Coturnix japonica: one gene and its partners. The protein of the gene in region 1 interacts with the protein of each later gene in a pairwise test. Links are inferred from orthologs where the notes say so. Each region holds a gene or a part of one and is shown on either strand. Other genes may lie near its edges.

What was found. The genes of interacting proteins can lie anywhere in the genome.
Region 2: the proteins of DRG1 (region 1) and RWDD1 interact in binary tests that used the Homo sapiens proteins (3 or more experiments, as listed by UniProt). The two-hybrid records come from large-scale screens. The link is inferred for Coturnix japonica from reciprocal best matches to the Homo sapiens genes DRG1 and RWDD1.
Region 3: the proteins of DRG1 (region 1) and ZC3H15 interact in binary tests that used the Homo sapiens proteins (3 or more experiments, as listed by UniProt). The two-hybrid records come from large-scale screens. The link is inferred for Coturnix japonica from reciprocal best matches to the Homo sapiens genes DRG1 and ZC3H15.

Annotation. Positions count from the first base shown.
Region 1 is NC_029530.1:7,969,753-7,973,926, reverse strand, and holds the start of DRG1 (developmentally-regulated GTP-binding protein 1), read left to right. Parts: upstream 1-1,364; 5' UTR 1,365-1,475; coding exon 1,476-1,517; intron 1,518-1,620; coding exon 1,621-1,744; intron 1,745-3,219; coding exon 3,220-3,395; intron 3,396-3,759; coding exon 3,760-3,829; intron 3,830-4,174. UniProt on the Homo sapiens protein: Catalyzes the conversion of GTP to GDP through hydrolysis of the gamma-phosphate bond in GTP. Appears to have an intrinsic GTPase activity that is stimulated by ZC3H15/DFRP1 binding likely by increasing the affinity for the potassium ions.
Region 2 is NC_029518.1:58,028,207-58,031,725, reverse strand, and holds the end of RWDD1 (RWD domain-containing protein 1), read left to right. Parts: intron 1-259; coding exon 260-322; intron 323-1,148; coding exon 1,149-1,261; 3' UTR 1,262-3,465; downstream 3,466-3,519. UniProt on the Homo sapiens protein: Protects DRG2 from proteolytic degradation.
Region 3 is NC_029522.1:5,371,773-5,374,472, reverse strand, and holds the end of ZC3H15 (zinc finger CCCH domain-containing protein 15), read left to right. Parts: intron 1-270; coding exon 271-461; 3' UTR 462-2,192; downstream 2,193-2,700. UniProt on the Homo sapiens protein: Protects DRG1 from proteolytic degradation. Stimulates DRG1 GTPase activity likely by increasing the affinity for the potassium ions.

The DNA of each region.
Region 1 (4,174 bases):
CACAGTAAATCCGTTCACAACATGGAACCAACCTCTCCAGAGGTCCCTACCAGCCCCTACAACTGCATAAGCCTTTCTGAAGCTTCATAGAGGGTGCTCTTATAAACCAATACACTACAAATACTGAACTACTTCAAATATTCAGACCAGTTAGAAAATGTTTGTTGTTGTTGTTGTTGTTGTTTTCTGGAAAAATAATAGGGCAAATGATCTCAATGAAACTTTTACTCCTTTCAACACTGATAGAAGTTTGTAAGTGCCTCAGGTCCTTAGAGGACCTTTGCTTGAATAGCTCTCTGGAAAAAAAAAAAAGGATTTAAGGTTGTGTACTGAGCAGTTTTGTCTTAAGAATGTCATTTATTGACATCTCTGCTCATTCATCCCACACTTGTAGATTTAATTTGACACAGTAAGTGAGATCTGGAGTTGGGCTGTGAAAACAACTAATGCCATTGCTTTAGCCCTGCAGTTATCAATACCTTCTGCAAATACAGAGGCAGTCTGGTTAAGCATCCCACATTTGCACTTTTCTTCATGTTTTTTCCTGTTACCAAACAGGACTACAAATGTCAGGGACTAAAGGCTGAATTCAGCTATGGATCAAACAAGTCAAATTCCAACTGAAGTGAGAAGCAAAAGAAATTAACGGCAGTGCTGAACCTGCTGCGTCCTATGTTAAAAGCCAGTATTGTTCACAAAGGAATAATTAGAATTCCATGAACAAACACACGGCGGTAGGTGCACTCGTATTTACCCTGGCTTACCTGAGCTAACATTACTAGGAGCTCTAATCCCACTTTATTTGAGATTCTATTTCATTAAGTTCTACATAAGCTCATATTAATGACAGTTCCAACTGTAACGGAGCTCGTGACGTGAAAGATGGCTTTTTTAATTCACATGGGGCGGGAAGGAGACCAGGAGAGGAAGAATGAGAACAGAGACCTGTGCAAGGAGCTCTCCCTGCTTTACTTCTTACCGTAGGTCAACGTATAACAATTCCACAAGCAAAGCTGTGGTAAAGTTACATTCTGGGTGCTGCAATTCTCAGAATCCCGGCTGGCGGAGCAGGTGGTTGTGCAAGCATCCTTTTAAATGCCTCTATACAGTGCGTGGCACAGCGTGCTTCTTATTATAAACCACGTTCAATTTGACATGTAGATATATAACGTGAGAGCAAACGCCGGCTCTACGCTCCGCTCCCTCACTCCCGCTCTCCCTCACACACGCTCCCGCCCGTCCCCTCACGGCGCTGCACACGGCACGCAGCAGCGCCCCCCTCCGGCCGTGCAGTGCAGTGCCGTGCGCAGAGCAGTGAGCAGAGCGCAGCGCTCCGCCCGCCGCTTCCCGCCCACAGCTTCTCGCGAGAAGCCGTTGTGCGCCTGCGCGCTGCCGGCCGGGCCTGAGGAGCGGCCTGAGGCTGCGGTGCGGTCGGTAGTTGCGGTGCGGTCGGTAGGTCCGGGTCCATCGCCGCCATGAGCGGGACATTGGCGAAGATCGCGGAGATCGAGGCTGAGGTAACGAGCCGGCGGGGTCCGGCACCGAGCCGCTCCGTCACGGGGCGGGGGGATCCTGCAGGGCCCGGCGGACGGCTGAGCCCTGTGTTCCGCGTTGTTGCAGATGGCCCGCACGCAGAAGAACAAGGCCACGGCGCATCACCTGGGGCTGCTGAAGGCGCGGCTGGCGAAACTGCGCAGGGAGCTGATCACACCAAAGGGAGGAGGAGGAGGAGGACCGGGGGAAGGTGCGTGGGACGGGCTGTGTTATGTGGAGTGTGCTGAACGGAACTGGGTGCTGTGTTATAGCCCTGTCCATAGCAGGGTGTTGTGTTATAGCCCTGTCCATAGCAGGGTGTTGTGTTATGGCCCTGTCCATAGCAGGGTGCTGTGTTATGGCCCTGTCCATAGCAGGGTGTTGTGTTATGGCCCTGTCCATAGCTGGGTGCTGTGTTATAGCCCTGCCCATAGCAGGGTGTTGTGTTATGGCCCTGTCAATAGCAGGGTGTTGTGTTATAGCCCTGTCCATAGCAGGGTGCTGTGTTATGGCCCTGTCCATAGCAGGGTGCTGTGTTATGGGCCTGTCCATAGCAGGGTGCTGTGTTATAGCCCTGTCCATAGCAGGTGTTGTGTTATAGCCCTGTCCATAGCTGGGTGTTGTGTTATGGGCCTGTCCATAGCAGGGTGTTGTGTTGTGTTATAGCCCTCTCCATAGCAGGGTGTTGTGTTATGGTTCTGTCCATAGCAGGGTGTTGTGTTATAGCCCTGTCCATAGCAGGTGTTGTGTTATAGCCCTCTCCATAGCAGGGTGTTGTGTTATGGCCCTGTCCATAGCAGGGTGTTGTGTTATGGCCCTGTCCATAGCAGGGTGTTGTGTTATGGCCCTGTCCATAGCAGGGTGCTGTGTTATAGCCCTGTCCATAGCAGGGTGCTGTGTTATAGCCCTGTCCATAGCAGGGTGTTGTGTTATAGCCCTGTCCATAGCTGGGTGTTGTGTTATGGCCCTGTCCATAGCAGGGTGTTGTGTTATGGCCGCTGATCCACTAGCCAGGTGCTTGATTGTTGATGGCCCTATCCATAGAAACAGGAGGTGATTGTGTGTTATGCCCTTGTCCATAGCAGGGTGTTGTGTTATAGCCCTGTCCATAGCAGGGTGTTGTGTTATGGCCCTGTCCATAGCAGGGTGTTGTGTTATAGCCCTGTCAATAGCAGGTGCTGTGTTATAGCCCTGTCCATAGCAGGGTGCTGTGTTATAGCCCTGTCCATAGCAGGGTGCTATGTAATGGCCCTGCCCGTAGCTTGGTGTTGTGTTATGGCCCTGCCCGAGGCCTTGAGTTGAATCTGAAGAGTAAATAAAAGAACTTCTGCGTTTTGGTGGTATAACGGTGTGTTTGCAGAAGTCTTGAGGGTTTTGTGTGAAATGGACGTCTGTGCCCACATACAAAGGTGTGTGTGTGTGTGTGTTGGGGGGGGGAAGCTGCAGTGCTCACACAGCAGCTGGGTGAAGTGCAGCCCAAGTATCTGCGGTGCTCTGCTCTGCAGGCAGGTGGTGAATGGGGCAGTGTGCAGTGTGCGGGCTGGGTCCTGCTCTTAGCCTGTCAGGAAAGCTGACCTGTCTGTCACTCGGGCAATATTAAAACTAACGGTGATATGGCTCTGCAGAGCTGTAGGAGATGAGGAAATGGCTTTAGGTGCTTTGTCAATTCTTGTCATTTCCTTGCAGGTTTTGATGTTGCAAAGACAGGTGATGCCCGCATTGGGTTTGTGGGTTTTCCATCAGTGGGAAAGTCTACTCTGCTCAGTAATCTTGCTGGTGTCTACTCCGAAGTGGCAGCATATGAGTTCACTACACTAACTACTGTGCCTGGAGTCATTAGATACAAAGGAGCAAAGATACAGGTGAGATCTTCTGGTGTCTATGAAGTTAAGACTGTATATATAGATATAATGGTATTAGGACAGAATAGAATAGAATTTATCTGTAAAAGTGCTCGAGAGTACATTGGAAATGTTTCTGTGAGGTTCTAATTTTATTCTGCTTTTCTCTGGAGAACAGTTCCAGTGGTAGTTCTCATGCTCTGGTATTATCTATTCCATAGGAGTAACACTGTATGTAGGAATTAAAGTGGAAATAATTTTGCTCTTTGTCTTGTTAAGATGTGCAGTAAATTCAGCAGCTTAAGAAGAAAGGTACAAATAGATTTTATCTTAAAGAGAAACATTTGTTTTTTCTCATATGTCCCTTTCCTTTCCTGAACAACAGCTACTTGATCTGCCAGGAATTATTGAAGGTGCCAAGGATGGAAAAGGCAGAGGACGGCAAGTCATTGCAGGTGAGTGTAGTGCAGCTTGGAGGCAGCATCCAAAGCTGGTTCAGTTATTATGCCTTATGAGAATGGCTGAGTTTCTGCTCTTGACACATTCATGAAGCTGGATTGTATGCTGGAATTCAGTTGCTCAATGTGAAACATTAGCCATTGTCTTTTTCCTTTGTTTCAGTTAAATTCAGCAAACCTAAAGTCATATGTTGACACAGCCTTGAAAATCTGCTACCAATTTTAAAGGCAGATGAGAATCTATTAAACAAAGATGCTGCTTTGTCATCTTTATGTAGCTTATTGTCATCCTTGTGTGTCTGAATGTAGATAGAAAGGAAGGTTTTTCCAGCATCTTTGGTT
Region 2 (3,519 bases), on another chromosome or scaffold:
CCCTTCTCTTCTGAAGGCTTTTGAAACCTCTGGGTAATTTTGATCAAACTTGATAGAAGTCTTAATGGTAGTAAGTCTTGTGAAATCTGTACAGAATGCTTGATTCGCTTATGATTGGAATGTGTTTGGGCATCTGAAAAGAGTCATTTGAAATCTGACTTCTGTTGTTTTTTTTTTGTTGATATTTTGTTGGTTTGTTTTTATGTTGGTAGTTGTATAAACAAACAGCATTTTGAAATGTATACATTTTAACTTCTAGGGAAACAGCTGTTTGAAATGGATCACAACCTTGATACATCTGACATCCAGTTCTTAGAGGAAGGTAAGTTTCTGTTTCTGCACCTGGAAGACAGTGGTTTAAAACATGTAAAAATTCCTAAGCAAAGTCTGTATTATAATTCTGACTAAAATCTCATGTCAGTGTCACTTTTAATTTTAAGATGGGTTATTGATAGAACGTTTTCCTGCCTTGAGAAGAATAGACTTCGCATTTGAATTTGGGCTCTGTTCCCAAGTTATGGGAACGTAACTTATAATGTTAACTTTTAATCCTGTCACTATCTGTTATTTAAAAACTCCTGCACTGATCAGTGTTGTAATTTTAAATTGAAGTTGTTAATAAATAACACTGATTTTTGTAGTTGCTACAATCTAATGGTGTTATCTAGATGGAAGCAGTTATAAAAGGCTCCTTCAAAAGCAGTGAAAAACAGAACCTTGTTCAGAGGCCAGAAGATGTCGCTATTGATACATACAAATAAAGTAGTGGTTCTGAAGTTTTGCTCTTAAGCTTTGTCTATTTTAGAAGAAAGTATGAAAGCATAGAAAGCCTCATCTTGCTTTTAAATTTTAAACCTAATATATATATATTTTTTACATATCAGTGCCTCTCTGAAGTAGTTGTCTGCCTTTCAAATTTTCTCCTGGAGAGAATTTAAAGGATAATTCTATGTGGTCTGCTGTTATTTGCTGCATGTGTGTATGGTACACACACACACACACACACACACACACACACACGTATTTATTTATATATAATGTGCATATACATGCTGTGCTTTGTACTTTTTGTATTCTGAGACTGTATTTTGTTGTTCAGGTACTTTTTTTCTCTTTGTGTAATTTCTTTTTTTTCTTTTTTTTTGTAGCTGGAAACAGTGTGGAGGTTGATGAATCTTTATTCCAAGAAATGGATGATTTAGAGTTGGAGGATGAAGAAGATGACCCTGACTACAACCCTGTTAATTTAGATAGTGATTAGATTTTTTTGGAACCGGCCCTGTCATCAGTATGGACTTATGTAACGAGAGAGAGGCAGGCAGAAAAACCACAGCATCTGTGGTTGTAGTAATGTGTATTGATTTTCCTTTTTTCAAAGAAAAAAAATATTTTACATCTAGGAGTATGGTCTTCTGATGACTGTCATCATAAATAAATCGACTAATATTTCACATGAAAAACTTGAGGCATACTCTTCTGATTATTATTGTTATTTTTTCCCTCCACTTCTTTAAGCGTCCTCAGAAGAGAAGCGACAACAAGCAAGAAGGAAAGATGGCATGGTGATTGTTAAACACACCTGCATACGGAAGCTGAGTTCTACTGTCTTCTTTGTAGGATATGCATGGGAAAGCGTATTGAATAGAACGGTTTACGTGCTATGCAGGTTTTTTTTCTTTGAAATTTTATAATGCAATAACTGACAGTCATTTCTGATACCCCAAATTATTAGCCGAATAGCAGTAGATAGGCAGCACTAGCCCTTTTTTAATAAGGCATAGCATTTTTAATGTTGAATGGAAACCACTTACATATTAGAGTGAAATTTTGTTTGCCGCAGCTTCAAAATGAAATGGTTGATTTTAAAATGGTTGATGTGTTTAGAAAGCCTTTTTTAAAGTTCTTGTGAATCAGTGAACTGAAAAAATAATTTGCTTTCGGCAACAGTGAATGTGAGAACACTGTCAGAGCACAGAAGGCAGTAATAGTATTTTACTTCATTCCTGTTCTGCTTCCATTTGTGGTTGCTGAGAGTTTTTTTGAAGTAGATTGTTGGCCATCTGTGAAAGTCTTAGCATAGTAAAGTTAGCATCCATGAGTTGCTGGGTAGCATGTTAACCCATCTGAAGAGTTCCTTGTGGAGCTACTGGCTTTATGTTAGACTCAGCCTCCCTTCAGACCTCCAAAAAACCTAGAACACTGAAGAAATGTGTGTAAAGTGTTTGGGACTGTGTCAGGTGGATGAAGGTTTCAAAAAGCAGCTCTCTGAACAGATAACTGCCAGGCACCTTGATGATTAGAAGCTTTGTGCTGGATTTTAAAACACTTCTGGTAGATTGCCTTAACTGCTCCAGCTTCAACCATTTAAAAGAGAATTGCACTGAAGTATCTATGCTTAGAAGACTAATGGATTTATGAACTTCAATATTTGGAAATTTCTTGCTCACAATAAGGAATTTGATTTCAGAAATAATATAATGATGTTTAAGATTCTCAGCTCATGCCATTTGAGAGCATCTGTGCGGATGATCTTGCATAACGTTTCAGTAGTCTTGTCTTTTTATACTCAAGAGGAATAAATAAGAGTTCCCAGTAGATAGAAATAAATATTAAAGTACCCTGTAAATGGTTTTATAAATGAACCATGTGCCTTTGTTCCTACCATCTTCTATTTGATGTTTCTAGTTTTGGCACCTCAGAACTTGAGACAAGCACCTAAGTTTCAGTTGTAACATTGTATGTTTCAAAGCAATAAGGAGGATCTGTGTTCCAGCAGGTATTACCAAATATATTTAAAAACTTGTAAGCTAATGTGATATTTAAAGTCTTGTCTCTTCCAAAGATGAAGTGGGATTGAAAGGTTTGTAATAACTGTGTCCCGTTTCCTGTGTAATTGCTAGCACGCTTTTAAATGATGTTTAGCACAGAACTTCATTTTCTTGTGTGTCTCATCAGCCATGAGAGAGCCTCCCAATGTTACTTTCAGTTGTCACTTTTTTTTTTGGCTAAAAGGAGTGTATTTTTCCTAAAAGCACTGAGTAAGTTCTCTTCAAATCTGAACTGAATCCAAGAATGCTGTATAGTCTGTGCAAAATAGGGATAATCTGAGAGAGTTTTCTAAGTGGGTCACTGGTGATACAAGAATCGCATCAATGTGAAAAAGAGCTTCTTAATACTTTCTAGATGAATGGGGTTTTCTGTTTTGTTTTCACACTGTGTTTATTGGTTTTTATGCAAAGATTGTGTAGCTTTAAGAAGTAATAACTGTGAAGTTCAAAGTATATTTTCATTGCTACTTACATCTTTTTTTTTTATCAGCAGAAATATGGGTTGAAATGACAAAAAAATTTCCTCAAGTCCATTTCTCCAAGTCTTTGAAACAAGTTTCAGTGACTCAGTCTAAAGTTCTAATTTGTTTATTAGCAATTAGCGTTTGTGAAATAAAAGGTAATTTTACCGAGTGGACTTGGGTGTATCTGTATGACTTTGTTTCCAGAGATGGAGATTGATCTTTTTATT
Region 3 (2,700 bases), on another chromosome or scaffold:
GAGCAAAACATTAATCCCTACCCTGTTATAAAAGTTGGGAGTTGAAGTGTTAGTTATTTGATTTATTGGTTTTGTCCTGTTCTAGTAACTAATGAGCCAGCCCTGCATTTTGATTGGGCATGTGCACTTTAGTCTATATGAGCTAGTATAAATATATATGTTAACTGTTAACAAGTGATGTTGCAAAACTTCAGAGCCTGTTCAGTATGATGTTGAATTAGTGGTTAAGGAACCTGTGACACTAAGACATGTAACAAATTGTGTTTTCAGACAATAAACTAAGTGAAGCTTCTGGTGGTGAGATAAACAACAGTGAACAAATTGATTCTGAAGGAGATCGTGATGGTGATGAGTTAGAAAATGGAGCCATCGATGCAGTTCCTGTTGATGAAAACCTTTTTACTGGCGAGGACTTGGACGAACTAGAAGAAGAACTGAACACTCTTGATTTAGAAGAATGAATTAAAAAGCTCGAGAGGAAATTAAAATTGATGTGATAAAGTGCAAACTGACTATGCTTTTTCTCCTTTTTGAATAGGATTCTTGAATGGGATGTTTATGGTTACCCAGCTGATTCTGATGGGCATGTCATATACCAGGATGACTTTACTTCAGTCTCATCTCCGGTCTTGCTATGATCACACTAAAATACTCAGAATAGTTCATAATAACCTGGCAACTGAATCTGCAGTGAATGGTATTATAAAGTCACTTGATAGTAGGAAGTGTAACTGCTTTGCCAGTATGCAAATGTAAGGGGAAGTTGGTACCAGGTACAGTATGAAATAAAAAGTAAACGTTCTTGACCGGAACTGCATTTTTAATAGTGATTGTGTTGATTTAGGCACTGCCTGACTAGCTTTTTCGCTGCGCGCTCTATAGAGGAGCTGATGCAGGTCACTTTTCTTTATGTGTTGATTAGCTTTATTTGATCAGCTGGATACCGAGGATACAGACACTGAATTGATACATGATACAGTACAATAAGGTGCCCTCTGTTTAAAATGGCCTTTTGCCATGAAAACTGTAAATAAAAACTATTGACTTTCAAAGGCCCGTGTTGATTTTTCTATGCTAAATTAGGATATGACAGCAAATGGGTAGTAACATAATTTTCTGTTACAGTGATGGATGCTTTCTCTCCAGTCCTCATGAAGTGACTTACGTCGGCTTAAATTCAATTAGGGGTAGTGTCTATTTGATGCTTTTCTTTCCTACTCTTCACGCAGTGTGTCAGATTCAACAGCTGACTTCCCCTCCTGCTCTCATCTCCCACCCATCCATTAACAGTTGTAATCCAAGCTATACAGTGCCCGTTTTGGATCCAGGCTGATGCTTTCCCTGCTGTATGTTAGGTAGGACTGAGCTCTGTGGAGCAGGGGATGTTACAGTCTAAAAAATGCCTGTAATATGTTGGTAATGCGATGTATTATGTTGGGTACTCTTGAAGTTCTGTAGCCATTACATTTGGCTGACAGCAGAGCTGTGGATGTTGCTGTGTACCCTGCAGGGGGCAGCTGTTGTCAGGTTTCAACCATGTTAAGGTGCCCTTTGAAATTTATCAAAACCTTACCATAACGATGTCTATCGAGGTGCTTTTTCAAGGGGGCTGTAGGTTATGCCTCAATGCTGTACTACTAAGAATCTGTAACAGTACTGTTGTTCTAAAGGATACCGTTTATATGGCCATTTTTCTAAAGTTTTCAGGTTACTACTTCAGGTTTGTTAAGCTTCATGGCGTTGTTAGCGAGCTTACTCAAACCACTGTCGAGTGGTAATAGGAGCTTTAATGGTTATTTTTGACACTGCTGAATCAACTCTTGTATCGTTAATGCTATATCTAAAATAGCTGACCTACACTTTTTTTTTTTGCCCTTTTTGGGATCTTTGTGGTATTATTTTTGTCTTACAGGAACAAGAAAGTATTTGGGGGGGAAGAAAGGATCTACTGAAATGGACTCCTACATGTAAGTGTTCAAGGATGAGCTGCAATATCAGATAATAAATGTTAATTTCTGCAGAGTTTTCTCTTGTGGCCATAAACAAAGTGTGTTGACTGTCTTGTATTATACTGGCCAGAAATCGGCTGTTTGGTTATCAGGATGCTTAAGAATGCAATTCAAATTTGAATGTATTATGCATAATTTTTCAAAGTTGTATATTTTAAATGGGAATAAACTAATTAATAAGGATGGAAATGACTATGTTTTGTCTGGGAGGTTGCTATGCAGTGCGTTAAACTTATTTCTGCCATCTTATCTGGTTTGGCTGATGTTAAAATGTTCGATCTTAACAATTGCAACTACGTTCTTAAGTCAATATAGTTCTACAGGTTAACTCATTTCAGATGAGGATGCATCAAGATCAGTGAGCAGGATGTGCCCTTTTTGAGTGTAAAGAGTTCAATTGCAATGCAAACCCCTGCTATGCATTTTAAAAGTATTAGGATTAAGTCACGTTGCAAACTATTTACGTAGATTGAATAACCATGACTTAGTATTTAACTAAATCATTTTCCTTAGGCATTCAATTTGGATATAACTGTATGTGGTTAGGAGGCTGCTCTGTTTTATACTTAGTTTCTCAACTTATTCTTGCGTTTTCACAGAGTCCACTTGCTTTTCTGTTGGCCTCCTGGCTGTGCTCTGTATAGATCTCTAACCCCAAAAGCAGGATGGCCGCTTCTAAAGATTCCTTTGG